3 linked regions of the Alligator mississippiensis genome follow. The protein of the gene in region 1 binds, or shares a complex with, the protein of each later gene. Links are inferred from orthologs where the notes say so. Each region holds a gene or a part of one and is shown in the gene's direction. Other genes may lie near its edges.

The links.
Region 2: the proteins of IKBKG (region 1) and IKBKB are in contact, whole or in part, in a crystal structure (PDB 3BRV), measured with the Homo sapiens proteins. The link is inferred for Alligator mississippiensis from reciprocal best matches to the Homo sapiens genes IKBKG and IKBKB. Residues at the interface, in NP_001093327.1 of Homo sapiens: Arg62, Ile65, Arg66, Asn69, Leu72, Arg73, Arg75, Cys76, Leu79, Phe82, Gln83, Gln86, Lys90, Leu93, Met94, Phe97, Ala100, Arg101, Val104; in NP_001547.1 of Homo sapiens: Ser705, Leu708, Glu711, Ala712, Leu715, Cys716, Leu718, Leu719, Ala722, Ile723, Asp725, Thr726, Glu729, Gln730, Gln732, Phe734, Leu737, Asp738, Trp739, Trp741.
Region 3: IKBKG (region 1) and CHUK share a complex: the UniProt entries of both Homo sapiens proteins name them as parts of the I-kappa-B-kinase (IKK) core complex. The link is inferred for Alligator mississippiensis from reciprocal best matches to the Homo sapiens genes IKBKG and CHUK.

The regions. Positions count from the first base shown.
Region 1 is NC_081831.1:29,096,352-29,103,323, forward strand, and holds the start of IKBKG (NF-kappa-B essential modulator), read left to right. Parts: upstream 1-3,894; 5' UTR 3,895-4,113; coding exon 4,114-4,270; intron 4,271-4,567; coding exon 4,568-4,758; intron 4,759-4,866; coding exon 4,867-4,956; intron 4,957-5,228; coding exon 5,229-5,339; intron 5,340-5,532; coding exon 5,533-5,597; intron 5,598-5,821; coding exon 5,822-5,878; intron 5,879-5,987; coding exon 5,988-6,099; intron 6,100-6,189; coding exon 6,190-6,308; intron 6,309-6,378; coding exon 6,379-6,531; intron 6,532-6,650; coding exon 6,651-6,747; intron 6,748-6,855; coding exon 6,856-6,972. Other genes in the region: G6PD (glucose-6-phosphate 1-dehydrogenase), read right to left, coding at 1-29, 125-283, 735-952, 1,126-1,234, 1,311-1,348, 2,956-3,083, 3,498-3,579. UniProt on the Homo sapiens protein: Regulatory subunit of the IKK core complex which phosphorylates inhibitors of NF-kappa-B thus leading to the dissociation of the inhibitor/NF-kappa-B complex and ultimately the degradation of the inhibitor.
Region 2 is NC_081830.1:17,229,655-17,237,553, reverse strand, and holds the start of IKBKB (inhibitor of nuclear factor kappa-B kinase subunit beta), read left to right. Parts: upstream 1-4,855; 5' UTR 4,856-5,015; coding exon 5,016-5,120; intron 5,121-5,507; coding exon 5,508-5,602; intron 5,603-5,746; coding exon 5,747-5,864; intron 5,865-6,554; coding exon 6,555-6,624; intron 6,625-7,899.
Region 3 is NC_081829.1:10,062,031-10,069,138, reverse strand, and holds the start of CHUK (inhibitor of nuclear factor kappa-B kinase subunit alpha), read left to right. Parts: upstream 1-4,081; 5' UTR 4,082-4,098; coding exon 4,099-4,227; intron 4,228-4,518; coding exon 4,519-4,613; intron 4,614-7,108. Other genes in the region: CWF19L1 (CWF19-like protein 1), read left to right, coding at 396-540.

The DNA.
Region 1 (6,972 bases):
AGATGGGCCCGAAGATCCGGTTCCCAAACCTGCCCAGGAGGAAAGCACAGGGTGCGTGAAGGGCTATAGGAGGGGTTGGGGTCTCATGTCCCCACAGCCAAGGACTGGCCTCCCCTGTGCTGACCTGAGCACCATGAGATTCTGCACCATCTCCTTGCCCAGATAGTGGTCGATGCGGTAGATTTGGTCCTCACGGAAGAGCCCCGCGATGTGGTTTGACAGCTTGTCTGAGCTTGCTAGGTCTTTGCCGAATGGCTTCTCCACAATTACCCGTGTCCAACTCCTAGAGAAGGGGGTGGAGGGGGCATGTTACGTGTGGTTGCAGCCTGGGCTGGCCCTGAACCCTGCCACCCATCTCCCCGCCCTGTGATTTCCTGCCAGCCCCACCCCCGTAAGGCTCCTCACCCCTGGCTCATACACACCCTCCATTCATCCTCCAGCTCCATGGCCTCTGACCCCCACCTCTGCTCCCCAGCTCCTCACCCCTGCCCCACACAGATTTGCCTCCCCATCAGCCACCACCCCCTTACCCCTGGTCCATGCAGGCCTGCCCCATTCAGTCCCCAGCCCCTCACTACCAGCCCTGTGCCCTCTGACCCCTTGCCCCTACCCCACATAGACCCCTTCCATATCATTCCCCAGCCCACACTCCACACAGGCCTGCCTCCACCCCCTCATTCAGCCCCCAGCACCTCATGCCTGCCACACACAGGCCTGCTGCCCCCCGACCTCACCCCTGGCCCATGCAGGCCTCCTTGATGTGGTGGGTGACATCCTCATAGACACTGGGGGGCAGGGCCAGGTAGAAGAGCCGGTTGGCCTGGCTGCCCTTGGGCAAGCTGCGCAGGTGGGCGTCCAGGTGGGCAAAGGCTGCGGGCTCATCATAGCGCCCTGACACATAGCTGTTGCGGGCGAAGAAGGCCTCCAGCTTCTCCCGCTCCTCTGGCACCACCTGTCACATGGGGAGAAGCCCTGTCACTAGAGGAACCCAGACCCCAACACACGAGCCCAGCCCCAGGGCATGGGAGGACCCCAAAACAGCTTCCCACCTCCAACACCCTGCTGCAGGATCCACCCCCTCAAGACCCCAGCTCTGGGGCAGGAACAGAGGTAGGGCTTGCCCACCTTGAGGTAGGGCTCGCTCTGACGCTGGATGTCAGCCACGGTGAGCTGAGAGCGGGCAAAGCCAACAACGTAGGTGTCATCAGGCAGAAGTCCGTCACGGAATAGCCACCTGTGGTAGAAGGGGGCAGTGTATTAGGGCTGTGGGAATGCTGGGAGAGGGATGGGGGGCAGGGATCGGCACTTACCAGACTGTTGGGTAAATCTTTTTCTTGGCCAGGTCGCCCTTGGGGACAGAGAGAGAGAGAGAGAGAGAGAGAGAGAGAGAGAGAGAGAAAAGCGGGGGGGGGGGGGGGGGGTATCACAATGGGGCACAGCCCAGGATCCCTCCAACCCAGTCCCTTTCCCAAGGGCTGTACCCTGCTCCCCTCTCCTGACACAGCACTGTTGTTGGCCCCATTGTTGTGAGACTTTTGTGCCTCTATCTAGGTCAGGGCAGCTTACCCCCGCCCACAGTGGCCGGCCTTCTCACGCCACCCAATAGGACTGGGACTGATGCCAGGCTGTGCCTGCCCAGGGGCAGGGAAGGGGTAGATTTGGGATTGCTAAGCAATGGGAATCTGCTGAGTCAAGGGGGCTGGGCCCTGGACAAAAGGCAAGCATGGGGGGGTGGTGCTGGCAAGAAGCCAGGCATCCCCTGGCAGCCAGAGACTCACTGGGTGTTGGCACCTCCTTTATCTGCCCTTTATCTACCACAAACACTCAACAGCTCACCAAACCTGCCTGGGGTGGGGGAGGAGGGTCCCAAGGCCCAGCTCCAGGGCTGCCTCCATTTCCCCACTTCAAGGCAAGGGAGAACCTCCCCCTACCCAGGGCACTGGCTGGCTGACTGCCCAGCCCCCAGGCTTCTCTGGTCCCAATCCTGGCTCAGGAAGGAGGGCTCAGTATGTCCTAGACCCTCTCCCAATATCCCCTGCCCCTGAAGCTGTATGTAGCTTCCACGGAGAGGGGGTGTGTGTGTGTTGCTCCATGGCCCATGCTAATTGGGGCAGGCTGGGACACAAGGACTGCACTCACGGTGACTTAGCAGAGCCAGGCTCCCCTGACACCCCCAGCAATGGGTGCTCAGGGTACCCTCTGTCCGCTCCCCACCTCCACCCACCCAAAATCTCCTGCTGGGGCCACGCTTGGAGCAGCAGCATGAGGCACAGATGGCATAGGTGGGAGGCACCAGCTCCCCTAGGGTGGGAGGGTGACCTCAGGGCAATGGGTTTGAAAGCACCAGCCTGCGAGGCTGGTGGGAGGGAGAAGGGGTCAGGCCATCTCCACCACCCCAGGGCTGCATCATGCCTGGCTCCAGCCCTTGAAAGCCTGGGTCCCCTAGGGAGTGCCTGGTTATTTCTCTTATGTGGATATGTGGACCCAGGTGCTAGGAGCTACCCTCCCAGGGTCACAACCTCACTCCCAGCCCCCAGCGTGGCACAGCAGAGAGGGAGAACTGGTTTGCATCCTGGATACCTGAGTTCCTTGTGTGCACAAATAAGCAGTATAGAAGCAGAGGAGGTTGTCACTCCTCCCAACCCCCCTCAACAGGGAGAGGCTCTTGGGAGACAGTGGGAACCCCCCAGGGAAAGAAGAGCACTGTTCTGGCCATGGGGCAGAGGGTGCTGGGGGCAGGAGACCGGGCCAGAAGTTAGTAGTATTTGGAGGGGGCAGGCACACACATCTGGGGCTGGTGGTATGCAGGGGGAGGGCAGGGGCACGGCCCCATGGAGATGCCCCTGCCATGCTCCAGGGCCCTAAGCTCGGGGGCTGCTTCCAGGCCCTGACCCCAACACCATTCCTGGGCTTGGGGCCCTAGCAGTGGACAGGGGCAACAGGGGAACTACTCACAGAGGCACCAAGGATGACAAAGACATGTGCATCAGTGGGGTGGAAGTCCTGCCCCTGGCACAGCTCCTGGCGTAGCATCCCGCACACCTGTGAGCGGCTGAGCTCCTGTGGCTTGGCCATGGTGTGGTCTGATGGGCAAGAAATGGGGTGTGTAGCAGGGACAGCCTGGCCCATGCCCACGCGCCGGGGGTGGGGCACCTGGCCTGGCCCGGCCGGGCCAACCAGGTAGGTCCCACCTGTTGCAACAGGCCCGGGCTAGAGAAGAGAAGGGAAGGGCTGGGCCGCGCAGAGGGGAAAAGGGAAGTGGGGGTGGGGCAGAAGGGGAAAGGGGAAGCAGAAGGGGAAGGGGGGCAGGAAAGGAGGAAGTGGCGGGCGGGCTCGGCTGGGGCAGGAGGGAGCGGAGAAGCCCCAGCGCAACGGTACTCGGGCAGGGGCCATCACCACAGGGCCCACGTGTCCGGGATCCCCCGTCCCCCGGGAAAGGGACCAGGTGCCCAAGCCCCGCCCCGCCCCGCGGGAGGGGACCATGCACCCGCTGCTACCTGCCCGCTGCGGAGTCGGAGTCGTAGAAGAATCCAGACCGTGGCCGGTATCAGGGTCGCGGCGCCGCTCGCGGCTCCCCATTGCCAAGGCTGCGGCCACGCCTCGCAGCCAGCGCGGACCTGCCTCTCCGCTCCAGCCAATCAGCGACGAAGCCGATCGGTTGGCTCGCCCCGCGACTGAACCCCGCTCTCCCGGGCTAGGCCACCTAGCGTCCAGATTAGGGAAGGGAGGCGCGGGGAGAGCTGTCACAAAGCCTCTGACATCACAGCCTCACGCTCTGCACCACCATGACAGATACCGAGGCGGAAGTTCCCGACTATGGTGCATTGAACTCCCGACGCCCCTTCCCAACTTCCTTCCGGCTCCGGGTCGTCTTAGTAACACTTCCGGGGTAAACAAAACACCGAGACCGGAAGGAGGAAGTACGGCGCGGGGCCGGGAGTGGCGCAAGAGCGGCCAGGTATCGCGGCAGACCTCCCCCCACCTGGAGGTGGGGCCTGAGCGTCCGAGCCCCGCCACAGGGGTGGGACCCAGACGTCCGGGGCCCTGATTCCAGAACAAGCGAACTGAGGCGTCCCCCCCACGCCTCCGCCCAAAGGGGCCCGTCGGGGCTGGATGAGCGGGACCCGCCGGCGGCGCAGCGCGGACATGGTGGCGCCCGGGGGCGGTGATGGGGCCGGCCCCGCGGGTGATGCTGACGCCAACGCCCTGCCCCAGGCGCCGGACCCCGAGGCCTGGCAGCGCCTGGCCGCGGAGAACCAGGACCTCAAGGGTAAGGGGGTTGGGAGCTCGGCTGGGGATTCTCTGTCCACCCTCGCGACCTGGCTCTCCCGGCCGTCGGCTGTTTCCTGGGCTGGGCCCAGGCTCCGGCCTCGGCCTGGCCTCCCCGGTGCCCCTGAAGAGGCCTCAGCAGGCAAGGAGCACGCAGTCCACAGTGCCTTTGGGCAGCGGCAACCCCCCTCCCCAATCTGGGGCTGGTGAAAGTGTGGCGCTGGGGGCCGGTGAAGGGTGCTCCAGGGAGGGTGTGGCTGGGTCCTGACACCTCTGTGCTCCCCCCGTGGCTTGGCAGAGGCTCTGCGGCAGGGCAACCAAGCGCTACGGCTGCGATGCCAGGAGTTCCAGCAAGTTCAGGCCATGCGGCGTGAGGAGCGTGACTTCCTTCTGCTGCGCTTCCATGAGGCCCGCACCCTGGTGCAGCAGCTGCAGAATGAACAGCTGGAGGTGCGGCGACAGCTTGAGTGGTTGCGCAGCGCCTGCCAGGTACTGGGGGTCTGGGTCATGCTGTGGGTCTCCCTCACTCCCACTCACCCTCTTCCTTGGGGGCACGTGGAGAAGGTCTCCGAGACACTGTCTCATTCTCCCCCCCAGCCTCCATCCTTGCTATGCACCCTGGAGCCAGCTGGGCTGGATGAGGCTGACACCGTGACTCTCACCCATGAGACGCCTGTAGCGCTGATGGTGAGTGCTTCTGGGGCCAGAGGTTCTGCATGAGCCTAGATGTCTGGGTTGCTGTGCCCGTGTTTGTCTCCATCTTAACTTTGCTCCATATCCCCCTAAACAGCTGAGGGGGAAGGGATCTGGCTGGGGGGGCTTGGGAGGAGGGGAGGGGTTGGCTAGGCCTATTGTCTCCCAGCAGAAGATGCTGGAGGGAACACAGGCAGCCACTGCAGGGGTGCACACATGTCTGGCCTTCATCCCCTGCCTGCCACCCTGCTTCCCCTCTCCCCCAGGCTCTTGACCGTAGCAAGGAGAACCAGGCAGTGCTGAAGGAAGCAGACACTCTCCTGTTGGGAGAGAAGCCACTGCATAACCAGACCCAGCAGCAGAGGCTGCTGGTCAAGGTGAGGGTATTGGAGGTGCGGTCTGGAGGCATCTGGGCTGACTCCTGTCTCCGTGAGCTGAGATGGGGCCACTGAGGGAGGCAGCGTGGCCCCTTGTGGCAGGACATGACACCTGTTCCTGGGGGGGGAGGGCAGGCAGTTGAGCTGGTGATGGGGGTTGGGGCCAGCGCTGAACAGTTTCTGGTGTGTTCAGGAGAGCGGTACCCTAGCTGAGCAGCTCCTGAAGACTGAATCCTTGCAAGGGGCTGGGAACAACAGGTAAGAACCATGCATGTGTTGAGTGGGGGGCTGGAAGAAGCCTGCAGGTGCCCCACCATGCTCCTTCCACTCCCCAAAGATGAGGGATGATCCTGGATCACTCAGTTGCCTCCTTTTGGGAAAAGGCACAGGGGTTGGGGGCAGGATGGCTGTGTCTGTGAAGCAGGCAACCCCCTCTGGGGGCTCCTCACCCTTTTGTCTTGCCCCCCCCACCCCAAATCCAGGATCAGAGATGACCAGGCTGAGGAGCTGCACAGGAAGCTAGAGGAAACTGAAAACAAGTGTGTTGAGTGGAGCCCAGGGGGTGCCATGGAATCCCTGGGGGAAGGGGGGTAGGCAGTATGGGTGCACTGTACCAGTCACTATCACCCCCCCCCCCCCTTTCCCCAGGTGTGCTGAGCTGAAGCAGCAGCTGGCATCAGCCAGGGAGGACCTGAGCCAACTGAAAGCACAGGGGCAGGAGACAGAGCAGCAGTTCCAGGCCCTAAGAAAGCAGCTGGAGGTGAGTACTACCCTCTCACCCTTGGGGCAGGGGCATCCAAGCTGGGCCTCTGCAGGCTGGGGCTGATGCAGCCTCAGCTGCTCCCCACAGCAGGTGACAGAAGACAGGGTCTCGGTGAAGGCCCAGGTGACCTCACTGCTGGGTGAGCTGCAAGAGAGCCAGAGCCGGCTGGAGACCTGCATGCATGAGAAGCAGGCACTGGCAGAGCGGTGAGTGTGTCGAAGGGGGTGTAGGGTACCTCCAAGGCTGGGCACTGGCTCATACCCTGCCTCCTTGCAGGGCACGGACAGCTGTGGAACAGTGCCGACGGCTGGAGGGGGACGTGGAGGCTCTGCAGGAGCAGCATGGGGTGCAGCTGGACCAGCTGCGGCTACAGGCCCAGAATTTGGAGACAGCATTGCGTGTGGAGCGGCAGGGCGCCACGGAGGAGAAGTGAGGCGGGGGGTAGGTGGGAAGGATGCCAGGAGGACCTGCTGGGGGTGGCAGAGCTGGAGCTGGTGGAAAAGGTCCAACCTGCTGCCTTTAACACCCCCATGGTCTGCTTGTTGCAGACGGAAGCTGGCACAGCTGCAGGTGGCCTATCACCAGCTCTTCCAGGAATATGACAGCCACATCAAGAACAGCATAGAGGGCGAGAAGAGGGCCCAGGTGGGTCCCCAGCAGGGGCACGCGTGTTTGTGGGTCATCCTCCTGGCCTTGGGGCTGCATCACCAGGGTGGTAGGGGACAGCAGCATAGACCACATGTACCTATCTAGGCCTTAGAGTGGCAGTTGGATGAGCTGTCGCAGCAGCTGCAGCAGGCAGAAGAGGCACTGGTAGCCAAGCAGGAGCTGATCGACAAGCTCAAGGAGGAGGCTGAGCGTCACCGGGCT
Region 2 (7,899 bases), on another chromosome or scaffold:
CTGCCATGAGCTCAGCTAATTAGAGGCATTCCTCAGATTCCTGAAAAAGGATTCACCCTGTGTTGAGCGCTGTTGCTTGGAGCTACCTGGCTCCCATGATTAATTACTGACAGCCTTGGCTCCCCCGATCCAGAGGAGGAAGCCAGTTGTGCTGTAAATGAGTAACAGGAGCAGCCATAAATGCTGTTCTCATATGGAGTTAGGGCTGGGGCAGCCAGGATGTGAGAGCCTGGAAATGTCAGGGGAAGTCATATCTTTAACTGCCTGTTGTTGGTCCAATAAAAGATACTGCCTTGGTAGCTGATGAAGCAATGAGCCATGCCATTCCACGCCCCAAAATACCGAAACGCAAAGTTTAATGTTGCCTGTGTGCTGTTGGAAGTCCTCTTTGCAGTCTCTCTAGCAGACCTCAGCCTGGTCAAGCTTGCACTGCTCAGCAAATAGTTCTCGGGGTAGCGGGGAGGCTTTGAATCATTAACACATCCCTCTCCCCTGGGAACAGCATTACAGTGTTGCCAGGCTGCAGCCTGGGACGCTTCCTGGATACTCCATTTAGGCTGTGCTGGCTCTGAATTCCTGTCCCTTTGTTTTCCCTCCCTCTATTGCCCCGCTCCATGATCTCTGACTTGGGATTAGTGGGAGCTTCACACAATTGTTCTGTGATGTGCTGGGGCGGGGCAGGGGGCAGCAGCTTTCCTTTCCCATTGGCTTGCCAGTTCCTGCCCCAGCTGAGCTCTTGCCTGGCCCGAATACCCCTGGAGCAGTTGGTTCCCTGAAGCGATGTGGAATGTTTAATCTTCTCTGTCTACAGGACACAGATGCAGGGAGCAGTTTTGTCTTTGTACACAGACACGTTCTGACTTGTTTGGTTGGGATCTGGATTTTAGAAACAAGAGCAATTAACTTCCAACGGTTAATCCAGAATCTGGGGAGGGCCACGCAGGGGAATCCCAGCCGACCAGGAGCTGAATCCTTTGCTGGACTGCAGCTGGGGGCTGGGCAGGCAGCAGCTGGTTTCTCTCCATGCCCGTTGTGTCACATTTGTGGGGGTTTTCACTGCACACTTAGCTGAATCCTTCTTTCGGTGATGCAGCTCATCAGCTATTTATTGTACTCTGTCTTGCCCTTTAGCTACCTGCTGCCCAGCACAGGCCGTTCCCTGGGGCTGAGGGAACAGGGAGTCTCTGAGCGTGGGGAGTCGAGCACAGGGAGCTTTTCTGAACCACCATGGGAACAAGACAATGACTGGATGAGAGGAAGGGCATCCGTGGCATAAATGCACATTGTCTGGGTCTGGTGCTTTGGCTAATTCCTCTTTTCCTTCTTTGTAATTACTTACTCATTAAATTTCTGTCCCCCCCCCTATCCAAGAGGTTCGGAGCCTCACTGTAAATGTGTGACCAACTCTGTCATTTACCCACATCCCTGCAGTACTGGTCACAGGGGAACTCTGGCATGTTGACAGCAGCCACCATGGAGAGACTAGTCTAGGCAAGCCCAGCTGTTCAGTCCCTTGTGAGAAAGTACATTTAATAATTAGACAAAGCAGGATTTTGAAGTAGAAATAACTGAGGCAGCCCCTGAACAGCAGAGCTGCCCCACAGAGCCAAGGGCAGGATTACAACATCACAGAAACGGAAGTGCCATTGCTGCCTTGCATGGGGTAGGGCAAAAGCAGCTTCAGTGAACCTCTTTGTCTTAGCAGTACCCTACAGTGATGGGCAGGGACCAGCCAGTGACCTCCATTGTGAGACACAGAGACCGGCTTTTGAGGTTCACTATGACCTGTGAGGACCAGCTGGCAATGAGTTACGGTTGTCGCGGTTTTGGGCAGCTCGTTTCCGAGCAGTCGCTGCCCATTTAGAGCTGACCTTTTCATGCTTCAAGAGAGTGGAGCTGGCCTGGGTTGCTTGGCATTTTCCTGAAGGCTGCAAGGAAAATGGTGAGGGCGTATTCCAAACATTGCATCCCAAGCTGAGCACAGGGTGTACCCGTGCGGCGCTAGGGGCCTAGCTGAGGGTCTGCTCTGGGTAGGAAGACAGTGCCTGTGGTTGGTATTGTGTTACGTGTTCTGACAAGCCATGTCCTGCGAGGAGCCCTGGCAGAAAGCAGATGCAGGTTTTGTGCCTGCATCTCAGGGAAGGTTTGGCTCCAGTGTTTCTCTGCAGCAGTAATCTTTGTTTTTTTGCTTGTTTAGCTTGCCTACATATCTCCTTTCTGATAAACTCCCTCTATGCCTCCCTCTGCACCTGTGTCTCCGCATATTTGCACGTTTCCCGTATGTTGCTCCGTGTGGAATGCATCTCCTCGGCCAGCGGGGCCTGCTGCCCAGCTCCATGTGCGTGAAGAGACCCCTCGTGTCATGCGTCCGTGCAGAGAGCCAGATTGCTCTTGCTGTGGGAACTGGCAGTTTGACTCTGGAGCAAAGGAGAAGTAATGATCCCATGGGGTCCTGGGCACCCAGTCAGTATGCACAGGTGCCCCACATCTCCTGTGCCAGGCCTGGAGGCTGTCTCTGTTACAGTGGAGCCCTTTGTGTTTTGGGGCGGGGAGGATGGTATCAGGTTGCAATTTAAAGATGCTTTGGATGGAGATCATGCCAGATCACTGTTTGTTAACAAGTATAAGCAAACATTGTGCTCCTTCTGGAGTTTACAGTCCAATGGACGTCAGAGGAAGTGCCACTGTACATGACATGTTCGCTTAGCACATAGATGGGACCCTCCCTCCAAAAACGATCCTCTGTGACTCTCACCCCCAGGAAAGTACTCTTTTCTCCCATACCTTGCCCAGCTGCAGTTACAGTTCCTCCTACGTGCTGCCAACTAGGTGCCTGGCACTTGTTGGCACCTGGAAAAGCAGTGATGCTAGCTGGATTCACTCTTTCCTGTGACGGGGAGAAACTGGACTCCTCCACTGAGCAAAGGTCCTGTTTTCTTCACTGGCTGTAAGCAGGGGCCCTGCCTCTTTATAGGCTGCTAGCTATAAGCCTCCTGGATCTCCCTCCCTCCTGATTTCCTTTCCCTTGGGCAGACTGAGGAGTATAATTTCCATGCACTCTGCAGTTTGCGCCAGCCACCACTTGCTCTCCACCCTCCTCTCAAACCCCTCGCTGGCCCTATCTCCTCTGAGAAAAGAAGCAACTTCTCACAGAAGTGCTTCAGGCCTCTTCTTGCTACCACCTTCCAGCAGTATCCCTCTCTGTCCAACATGAAATGTGGCTCTTTCCTTTCTCAAAGTGAACCCTGAGTCCTCTCTGACATTCCTTTTCCACCTGACCCTTCTTAGCCCTTGATTTCACATCCTATGGCAGGTCATCTCCTGTGTATAATCTCTGACCATAGAAGAAATGGGTCAAGAGGGGCCTGCCCTGCTTGGTGTACTGGTGTACTTGGAGCGCTTGTGAGCATCCTTTGTCCCAGAGCACTGAAGATGCTCAGCTGGTGGGCGCCGGCATCTGTGGATGTCATTAGTCCCTGAGCTCCCATGCGAGTACAGCAGCCACTTCCCCTTGTTGACCAGCCTCCTTGAACTTGAGGCTACCCTCTGCTCCGAGGTTCGGATCCTACCACCGCAGAGATGCTGCTTTCTTGGCAGTCATGCCTGGACATGTTACCAATATGACCCCAGTAATTGGCAGCTGGTGCCATCTGTGCTGGACCCCCCTCCAGACCAGTAGTTGGTAGTAGTAGAAACTTCTTTTGGAAACGTTTGACAATAGCTAATCCTTCCAGTAACCCAGTGATGTAAGTCAGCATTGCCTATGCTACCCATTACTATACCCGAACCTTTCCTAATTTCATAATCAGCCACCCCCTTTTGCATTCCTCTGGGTCCTCAAATGAATGGACACATCACATCCGATTTGCTCATCAAGGGGGAATTCCTCAGCTGGCATGACTGAGGTGCTATGCAGGTGTGGCAGACCCTGGCCCTAGCTATCTGCCTGGCTTCAGGTGGAGCTCACCTGGCCAGAAGACAGTGGAGGGGCACTGGCCTTCACAGGAGCGGGAGCTTAGCCTCCGCTGGTGGCCCAAGTGAGGTGGGCTCTTTGTCCCTGTGAAAGCTCATTTGAGAAGCTCTAAGTGCCTCCACTCTCCACTTCCCCTTTTTCTTGCTGCAGGGTGTGAACAAGACAAACAAGTGACGGAGCTAGCTGGAGGAAAAGAAACTGTGACTCAGGGCTGCGGCTCCCAGGCCTCCTAGGTCACCCCTGTGGAATGAGGCCCCGGATGGCCCCCAGGTAACCAGTCTCCGGGGCTAGGTTCAGTGAGAAGTGGCAGGGATGGGTGGCGGGAGGGGGAAGCGGGGGTAGACGAAGTCCAGGAGCAGGTGCTGGGTGGCTGCCGGGCAGGACCTGCCGCCCTCTGAGCGCCAGCGAGACCCAGGCCCTGTGCTGTAGCCCTGGGGGTTGGAAGGATGCCCAGGCAGGGCAGGCCTGCAGGAGCATAACGCTGCCCGTGGCCTGCCCTGTCCGGCTCCTGCTGTGCCGCAGGCAGCTCATGTCACTAGCTGCCTGGGGCCAGCGGGCTCCTGGGGCGAGCTGGCACCACACCCTGTGCCACGCTGCATCCTGCATGCCACCGCATCCTGCCTTGGCACCCCACCCTGCATGGCACCCCACCCAGTGGGCTGTGTGGCTCCGGGGTCCCTGGGTGCAGCAGGGCCTGCGCTGTCGTCAACCCACCGCCCCTGCCCTGCCCTGCCCGCAGCTGCTTCCCCCGGACCAGCGCCGCTCCCTGCAGGACACGTGGGCGCAGCGCGACCTCCGGCCCGCAGGGGGCGCTCGAGAGCCGAGCGCGCCTTCCTTCCCCGCGCTACGGCGCCTGCGTGGCCGGGCCCCGCCGTGACGTCAGAGCCAGGCACAGTGCGGAAGCGGCGCGCGAAGCGAATCCGACCCCGCAGACCGCGGCCCCCCCCCCCCTCCTGCCCGTCCCGCCCACGCGTGTCCGCGGCGCGAGTGCGGCCCCCGCTGAGCCGGCCTGGCTGGGCCGCCCTGTCCCGGCAGCGGCAGCATGAGCCGGCCGCCATCGCTGCAGACGCAGACGTGCGGCTCGTGGGAGATGAAGGAGCGGCTGGGCACGGGCGGCTTCGGCAACGTCATCCGCTGGCAGAACAAGGTGCGCCAACCCTCAGGACCTGGGTATCCCCCCCGGGGGCTCCCAGCATCACAAATGTCAGCGCGTTCATTAAACACGGGGTCCGATTCGCGTGGTAGTCCAGGAGCGTCCTAAAAAGTAGCGGCTGCGTGCGATTGCCTTCCTGGCATAAAGTCGGCGCGCCGCGACCTGTAACCGATGCGCGCAAGCGTCGTGTCGCGGGCACGCTGGAAACCTCCCACGATAGATTGGAGAGTTGGTAACCTTCGCCGCGCGGCGCCGGGCCCGTGCGAGCGCCGCTTGCCGAGCCGTGTCGCTCGAATGGCCCGGGCGGGCTCGGCGGCTGGCCCTGGCACGGCCGTGGCGCTCACCCGTTGTTGTTGCGCGCGTTTGCTTTGTGCCGCCCAGGACACGGGGGAGCAGATCGCCATCAAGCAATGCCGCCAGGAGCTGAGCCCGCGCAACCGGGAGCGGTGGTGCCTGGAGATACAGATCATGAAAAGGTCAGGGTCCTTGTCCCAGGGTGCACCTGCCTCCGCTGTGCAGCTGCTATTGCTCAGGCGTTTGCACGTGCACCCTGTCTAGGAGCAACCTGTGGTGAGTCGGTTCCTGCCATCACACACTTCTACCCTCTTGTCCTCCCCTAGGCTGAATCACGCCAACGTGGTTGCTGCCCGTGAGGTCCCCAAGGGGATGCAAAATCTGGCACTGAATGACCTTCCGCCTCTGGCCATGGAGTACTGCCAGGGGGGAGACCTCCGCAAGGTGGGGCCCCTGGCTGGATGGGCGGGATAGCCATCGAGCACTGCAGAAATGAAAGGCTTCCCTTGAGTTTTCATGCACTGTTGCCATCATGTCTTCCTGCACTCACCAGGACTGTGCCTGCTGCCACCTCCCCTGCCCTTGGCAGGCTTGGTCCTGCACGAGTTCTCATCCCCTTCCTTGGTCTGTAAACACTTCCCATTTCTACTGGGTAGGCAGTGTGGGTCAGCCTGCGGGGTGCCCACACGGGCGTGTGCAAGAGACAGACAACAGGATGTGAGCAGGGCCTAGAACGTCATGGAGCAGGTTGTGCCAGTGGGTGGGGTCCTGTGGGGAACTGATAAACCCCTCTCGGTCACAGGGCGGAAAAACACATAGGGCTGGATCAATCTTTTTTTTAATTTTTTTTTTTAATCTTTGTGAGCAGCCCCAGCACAGATTTTGCTCAGAGGATAGGGCCATGATTAGGGGACCTTGTCCTGAGCTGGTTGGGCCAAGTGTGTTCAGATATGGGGATGGGCCCTGGAGGGGTTGCTGGCTGGAGGAGCTGGCAGAGAAGGGAAAGGGTAGGTCTGGAGCACGTCTGAGTTGATCATTCTGCAAAGGTCCCGACCCTACAGAAGCTCCTGCTTGCAAGTAGCATGTGTAGGCTGGGTGCGGCAGATTTGTGATATGTTGCCTTGCTCCCTCCAGTACCTGAACCAGCTGGAGAACTGCTGCGGCCTGCGGGAGGAAGCCATCCTGACGCTGCTCTCAGACATTGGTAAGGGGCCACGTGGCCTGTGACAATCCCTGTGTGGGAAGGCAGGCATTTCTGTCCTGCTAGCCCTCTCCACCTGAGGGAAGTAGAGCTGTGACCCTGGATGTTCCCATTCATAGATGTTAGGGTCGGAAGGGACCTCAATAGATCATCGACTCCGACCCCTGGCATAGGCAGGAAAGAGTGCTGGGTTCAGATGACCCCAGGCAGATGCCTATCTAACCTCCTCTTGAAGACCCCCAGGGTAGGGGAGAGCACCACCTCCCTTGGGAGCCTGTTCCAGATTTTGGCCACTCGAACTGTGAAGAAGTTCCTCCTAATGTCCAGTCTAAATCTGCTCTCTGCTAGCTTGTGGCCATTATTTCTTGTAACCCCCCCAGGGGCATCTTGGTGAGCAGAGCCTCACTGATGCCCTTCTGTGCCCCCAGGATGAATGGATGGGCAGCCACAGGTCGCCTCTCAACCTTGTCTTGTGGAGCCTGAAGAGGTCCAGGTGTCCCAGTCTCTCTTCATAGGGCTTGTCCTGCAAGCCCTTAACCATATGAGTGGCCCTTCTCTGGACCCTCTCCAGGTGATCCACATCCCTCTCGAAGCGCGGCGCCCAAACCTGGACGCGGTACTCCGACTGTGGTCTAACCAGTGCCCGATAGAGGGGAAGTATCACCTCCTTGGTTCTGTTTGTCATGCATCTGCTGATGCACGATAAAGTGCAGTTAGCTTTGCTGATGACTTCGTCACACTGACGACTCACGTTCATCTTGGAGTCCGCTAGGACTCTGAGATCCCTTTCTGCTTCTTCCGTGCTACCGAGCAGGTCATTTCCTAGGCAGTAGGTGTGCTGGACATTTTTCCTTTCTAGGTGCAGCATTTTGCATTTCTCCTTGTTAAATTGCATTTTGTTGTTTTCTGCCCATTTGTCCAACCTGTCCAGGTCTGCTTGTAGTTGTTCCCTGCCCTCCGGTGTGTCCGCTTCTCCCCACAGTTTTGTGACATCCGCAGACTTGGACAGAGTACACTTCACTCCCTTGTCCAAGTTGCTGATGAAGACATTGAAGAGTATCGGTCCAAGGACCGAGCCCTGTGGGACCCCACTGCCCACGTCCTTCCAGGTCGATACCGACCCGTCCACCGCTGCTCTCTGGGTACAACCCTCTAGCCAGTTTGCCACCCACCGGACTGTGTAATCATCCAAGTCACAGCCTCTTAATTTGTTCACCAGTATGGGGGGAGATACCTTATCGAAGGCCTTCCTGAAGTCTTAAGTAGACAATGTGAACC
Region 3 (7,108 bases), on another chromosome or scaffold:
GTGCACCTGCTACTTGATATTCTGATCTCTGTCCCTACATTCAAATCGTTTTAAAATGTTTGAACTGGAAAAGTTCAGTGTGGAGATTAAGAATCATGTTTGTACAAAGTATTGTCTTAGTTGCATTTACTTTTTACCAGTAAATTGTCCTTTTTAGCAAAGAAGCAGGTAATGCCTCTATATAGACCTATTTCTAAATTAATAATAAGAATTGCTTCCTTTCAAATGCAATTCAGATGCGTTCCCCGTGAATTAAATGGCAGTTTTTCTATTAAATTCAACATGAGTCTTTAGATAGCCCCCACAGTACTTGATTTTGTAGTCTTATTATTTCTAGCAATGTGCTTGCACTTCAAAGATTGCAACAGTTCTGCAGCTGATTGTTTTGGTTACAGGGAAGTCCTGGCTAGTGAAGCTATCCTGAATATTCCAGATCGGGCAGACTGGAGGCAGTGCAAGTCCACCAGAGAAGAGGAGGAGGCATTGTCCAAAGCCTTTCGAGAGGACTTTGAACCTTTTGACTTTTCTTTGCTGCAGTAACTTTGCTTTTCCAGTGGGAAGCACTCAGTGGTAGGACTGTCTTGCCAAGAGCACTGCTGTCCTGTTCCTGTTCATCACCATCATTCATTTTAACACTGTACTTGTTGCTGAGTTTCGCTCTGGTCTGACTCAACTCCTGTGCAGAACTGAGGTTAAAAGTGAACAGTCCAACTGCAAGGCATAATGGGGCAAAGGATTTCCCTTCTTAGTCTATTTGACAGCAGGAGGACCAGAGCCCTGGAGCAGGCTGTACTTTTTGCTGAGATTTTTAATCAAAGGAATAAACTCTATTTCTCTCTGTGGTCTGGTTGGTTGGTTTCCTAGGCAAGCTTCAAGCAGTGCTGGATGCAGCTGAGGCCCTGGAGTGGTGTTGATGGTACACAAATAGCGTAGGACCTGTCTGTGGGGCTGGGGCAAGGCTGGTCCTGCCACAGTCAGATAAATTTTGGAGCAGTTGTCATGGGTGAGCACATGGTCCAGGAAAGGACATTATCAGGAGGGAGCTGGTGGGGGGTGGCAAGATTGCTGCCGTGGCCTAAGCAGACCTGACATCTGCAGTGACCCAGACTGCACTGCCCTGAGTGTGGAAACATATGATGCAGTTGGTGTCGCTCAGGGTGTACTGCAGCATGTCTCTCAGCAAAGAAATCGCACCACTGAAACGTATCTTGTTTCTAAAGTGGCTCACAAGGTGGCTGAGTATACTGCTGCCCTTCTGCTGCAGGGGGCCTGAGAGAACAGGCAGACTATGGCCAGCATGCACAACGCCTGGTCCTTCTGGGCTGCTCTTCTGGTTCAGGTAAGGGTGCAGTGGGATCTAATGCACAATCACCTGTCCAGCTGTGCTACATGTGCATTTGCAGGAGGTGTGACTGTGGTATGGATAAGATCCCATCATGCCTTATTGCTGGTGCAGGGGGAACCCAATCCCAGGCTCCCCCTGCATGGGCAAGAAGCAAGCTTGCAGCCAGGAGCCCCCTCAGCTGGCAGGGCTCCGAGCCATGGGGGTACACATGGCTTCCTGCAGCTAGGAGCTTTGCTCAGCTGACGGGGCTCTTAGTCACAGGGCCCCCTGGCTACACATTTAAGTAATGGCATGATAGGTGCAGCTGCAAAGTTGCTACAAATTTTGTAGAATAACTTCCTAGCTTTTTTCTTTTCTTTTTTAATCATGCCAGTAACTGAACATGTGGCCGGGTGACCACTTAAGACATGATTAATCAGCTAAGTCATGACTTAAGTGTACTGTAGATGGGGCCTCTCCACTGGTTGTTCAAAGTGGTGGGTGGTGAAATTTTAAGTGGGTGGGTGGAGAATGGTAACTGGATGGGGATGGTAAAATCATTGCAGGAGGGATTGTGCTTCAATGTCCTTCACATTTGTGCTGCTGCTCTGACTCATGCTCCCCCTCTCCCCATTCTGCCCCCCTTCAGCTCATCACAGGGCATGGTGCTGGGAGCAGCTCTGTGGTGCAGAACCCAAGGACCAAGAGACCCTGCCATTCTGCACATCCCTCAGTTCTTGTCTGTTGTCAAAAACACTTGATATGTTTGTAATGAAGTACCAGACCCCAGTAAACAGTGTAATCTGAATGCAATGGTTCATGTAGTCTTTTTCAGCTCATGCAGGGGTGGGGGATGCTGGAGGGGCATTTATAAGCCCGGTCTGTCTTGGGTGGCAAGGGGGTTGGGGGCAAATCATTGGCTGAGTGCTGCTGGGCTAGCACTGTAAGGGGGTTGGGAATGAGGCTGGAGTTGGGAAGTGTTGGCAGGGGGACCATTTCCACTCAAGGCAGCTGGATTTGGTCTGCAGCTTAACCTGCTAGCCCCCTGCATTCCCTGTGCTGGGCTGGGGGGGTTAGTTGGGTTTGTTGCCCCAGCCCCACTTTACCCTCCCAGCCTCCACTCCCCTCCCCTCACACTAGCACAGGGAGGTAGAGAGCTGGTTCTTCTGGAGTACCTGGTCTGTCTAGTGCAGTGGTTCTCAACCTTTTTAGTCTTGAAGCATCACTTAATAGACTTGAGACGCACATCAGAAAATGCCAGTTCTAAGTTTTCATTTGTTTCTGACAACGGAAAAATAGAGTGTTTGGTGTTTTTTTCTATTCCAAAGAACTCAGAAAGACCACAACGAGTCAGAATACTTTTAATGTTATGGATTCCTACTTGAAACCTCTGGAGTTATCTCATGAATCACATCTGCACACCTAACAGTGCTAACATTGCACAGCATCCTTGAAAGGATCTCAAGGCACCTCAGGGTGCCCTGGCACCCTGGTTGAGAATCACTGCTTGAGGGGGATAGGTGGCTAGGATGCTGAATATAGTAGGATGCAGGAACCTCCTGGTTGTAGTTGTCTGAGCCCATATCAACTTCCTGGGGGAGCACCAGCGGCAGTAGAAAGGGCTGGGACTTACCAGGGTGGATGTGCTGGCCTGGGAGGGCTGTGTCTGTTCGATACTGGTCATGGCCAAGTCCTCAGTGTGAACTGCTGTGGTGCCCCTCAGGTTTGCTGTGTTGCTGACAACAAAGATGTGTGATGGTGCCTCGTAGTGGCGACACGAGACTTTATTCACCCAACCGTTTGTTTTTCCTTCCGTCTTTGTGACCTGCTGCTTGGGATCTCTGCACTGAGACCAGCACCGGGTCCACCCACGGTCACATAATCGAGTTGCCATTTCCCTTGTGGTCCTCTGATGCACGCTATTATCTTGCTGGCTGGAGCTGCGTGCATGTTGAACGTCGATCTGACCCCGGACTGCGAGATCAGTTCCCTCCTCTGGGACCGAGTTGTTGCTGTGCTTGGTCTTGTCAGCCTGGAGGGGCCACAGCAGTGAGGCAGGCTGCTTGCATGGGACACGTGAGATTGGTTGCAATGGGGGGGCTCTGATATTGTCCTTGGGAGGCGAGCAAGTAAAATGTCTGGTTAATTGTCATGCAGGGCAGTATGTCGGTGGCAGGAACGATCCCTCTGTTCGAGGATCCCTCTGTTTAAGGTGGCAGGAACAATCTCTCCGTTCAGCCGTGGCTCACTGATGGGACTCGGGGATGGTTTAAGAGTCTAGTCCTTCAGCCACAGATCCAAATTTGGCACAAAAATGGTGGTAAGTTTGTGGTTGGTTTCCATTGTGCCTTAAACCAAGCCAGGGCGCAGGGGCCCTGGCAGCGTGGGGAGGGGCCAAGTCAGGGCATGATGCTGCTCCCCTGGCCCCCAGTGCTGGTTGCTGGCAGGATGTGAGGTGACCCACCACCAGGTGCTTGGGGCAGGAGGGCTCCCGGGCCTGCATCAGCTCCCACCCCAAGGCCTTTGGGTGAGGCCCCCCACCAGCTGCCTGTGCTGAACGCAGTGCATGGTGGGATAGCTGGAGGCCGCCCGGCGCCAGCCCCGCCCCCTGGGCCGCTGGGGGAGGACGCGGTTCTGTGACGTACAAGCGCAGGGCGGGGCTCGGCTCAGGGCCGGGGCGGCTCTCGCGGAGGAGATCTCGCGAGAGCCGCTGACTTCCGGCTGGCCGGAGTCGGGGTCGTGGCCGGGGTCGGGCGGCGGCTCAGGGGGGCGCCATGGAGCGGGGCGCCGTGGGCGTGGGCGCGGCGCTGCGCGGGCAGCCGAGCGGCGGCTGCGGCCCCTGGGACATGCGGGAGCGGCTGGGCACGGGCGGCTTCGGCAACGTCTGCCTCTACCAGCACCAGGTGTGGCCGGGGGCGGGGCCCGGGGCTGTTGCCATGGAGACCGCCCCTGCCCCCCCTCCTGCGCAAACACTGCCCGGGCGCGGATCCCGGGGCCCCCGCGGTCCAGTGGGTGGGTGCTGGACCCAGGGGTGCTCGTTGTGGCTGCATGCAGCTGGTTTGCTAATTAGTTTGGCTTTTGTGCCACTGTCCTGAAAAAGGCTACAGAGAAAGGGGTGAAATGAAACAGACCCCAGCGGTGACCCCCTTCCCTCCCGGTGGCCTGCCCAGTCACCCCCAGCTCTTGTGTTGCAGGAGTCCGGTGAGAAGGTGGCGATTAAATCCTGCCGTCTGGAGCTCAGTGTGAAAAACAAGGACCGGTGGTGCCATGAAATTCAGATCATGAAAAAGTAAGTCTGCCTCTGCTTCCTATTACCCTTCCCATCCAGGGGGAACTGCGTGTGGCTCGGGCACCGGTGCGTCATAAGCAGTCTTCACTTGTGAGGTGGGTGATTAGCCTGTCTGCAGTGGCCTGTTGTAGCCAGAGAAGCACTTGGAGAGCGGCCATGATAGACATGCAGGGTGCTCCACCTCAGCGGGGAGGGGATGGACCACATCACACTTATAGGCTCAGCAGTGCTACACTCGCTAGCACTGTGACCGAAAGACTTGGGGGTCATGATTGACCACAAGATGAATATGAGCCACCAGTGTGATACTGCAGTTGGCAAAGCGAACAAAACCCTGGCTTGCGTCTACTGACGCATCTCAAGCAAGAGCCAGGATGTTTCTCCTGCTGTATTCGGCCTTGGTGAGGCTGCAGCTGGAGTACTGCATCCAGTTCTGGGCTCCACAATTTAGGAAGGACATGGAGAAGCTTGAAAGAGTCCAGAGGAGAGTCATGTGCATGATCAGACGGCAAGAGAACAGGCCTTGTGAAGAGAGGCTGCAAGCCATGGGACTTCAGCGTGGAGAAGCGCAGGCTCAGGGGTGACTTGGTGGCCGCCTGTAAGTACATCAGGGGTGTGCACCAGGAACTGGGGGAACGCCTGTTCACCAGAGCGCCCCAAGGGATGACAAGGTCCAACGGTCACAAACTCCTGCAAGGCCGTTTTAGGCTGAACGTAAGGCAAAACTTCTTTACTGTCCAAGCCCCCAAGGTCTGGAACACGCTCTTCTCAGAAGTGATGCAAGCACCTACTCTGAACACTTTCGTGAAACGTTTGGATGTTTATCTTTCTGGGATCTTTTGATCCTAGCTGACTTCCTGCCCCTTGGGCAGGGGGCTGGACCTGATGATCTTACAAGGTCCCTTCCAGCCCTAACGTTTATGAAATCTATAGTGGCAGTTCCAGCAGGAAACGCAGCAGTAGGCTCTGCTTCAGCTGATCTGCACCGTAGGATTCCCAGGCTGCTGTGATTGTCTACCTCCCTTTGGGTAGGGGAGAATTAATTACAAAAATTTGGCCAGATAACACTGTTCCCTGCCTTCCTAGCAAATGCTTCTTGGTGGCCCTGAGAGCATGGTTGGGGCAGCCTGAAGTTTGATAGGAGAATTTTGGGCTGCATGCAGATGTGACCTTGGCATAAGACTATGCAGTGCTTAAAGCAGCTCCCTTGAACTGAGGGCTTGGTGGGGGAAGGATATCATCTCTGGTTTAGATAGGGTTTGCCTCAGACTCCGCTTCCAGAAATTTTCTATTTTAACTGGTTAAAGCTGCATATTTGGCCCACAGAGAAAATCATTGGGGTGCTGGAGCAGTTTTGTCACATTAGCAGCAGTTTCCAAAGAACAAGTCTGTTGCTGCTTTATAACAATCCATCTTCTTGCGGTGAACTTCCTGGAAGTAGAAATGGACTGTGGGACTTTGGAGAGACATTTGACACAAGAATCTCTTTGAGAGGGAGGGCAGGGGTGACTTGGACTAATTGAGGGAGTGGTCAGAGGATATGAGGTTCCCCTGGGTGGTGTCCCACAAGAATGCAGGATCTGGTCACAGTCCTCAGGAAAGTCAAGGGCAGACCCTGTCTTTAGAGACAGAGGACTTGTACCACCCTAGCTAAAAGAAAAGGGAGGATTTCTTGCTGGGACTTGGAAGTTCCCTAATTTTTATCTTCTGTGGATAGGCAGGCTATAGATAACTTCCTTCTGAAGGCCAGACTAGCACTAAAGGTGGAGAGAGGGATTAAAGTCCACCAAGAAGAAGGGGTAGAAGAGGAAGGAATGAAAGGAGCTAGGGATAGAAAGGAGAGACATGGTATGTGGGGGAGATGGGTAAGGAAGAGAGAGGAAACATTAAAAATGGATACAGAGTTAATAGCTTTTTGAAAGAACTAGCTGGGAAAAGGTTAAAGAAGGTAGGAAAACCTGTTTGAGGTGCTATTGAGGTGGAAAGATGGAATGCATGAGTGTGAAACCAGCTTCTCTCCTAGGTTTTTATTTCCCAGGTAGAAGTAAAGCTAAAATAAACTACTGAGAGAGTTTACTTTATGCAGTCTTTTTAATCACTTGATTGATTCTGACCTGGATGTCTGTACTTCAACTGGAAATGATCTCAGTGTGCCCAAGTTTTGTTCCTTCTTTTTAGTTTTGGAAAACAGTTGGGTGTTTCACATGCCCCTGATGTAAACATTTGCTTTCCCAATCTACAAACTTGAACAGCAGAGTGTCTGAGTGCATCACAAACATCCTTGAAGTATCCCGGGGCTGGGCCTTGGAGGAAAGAGTTATTTCCACTTGACAGGGGCAGAAATTGTGGCACATAGTTCAACTCCAGTCCCTTAACTGTTAGACCAGAGGTGGGCAATTATTTCGGGCAAAGGGCCGCTTACTGAGTTTTGGCAAGACATCCAGGGCCATATGACAGGCAGCCAGGGGCAGATAAATATTAACTTTTTATGTTTT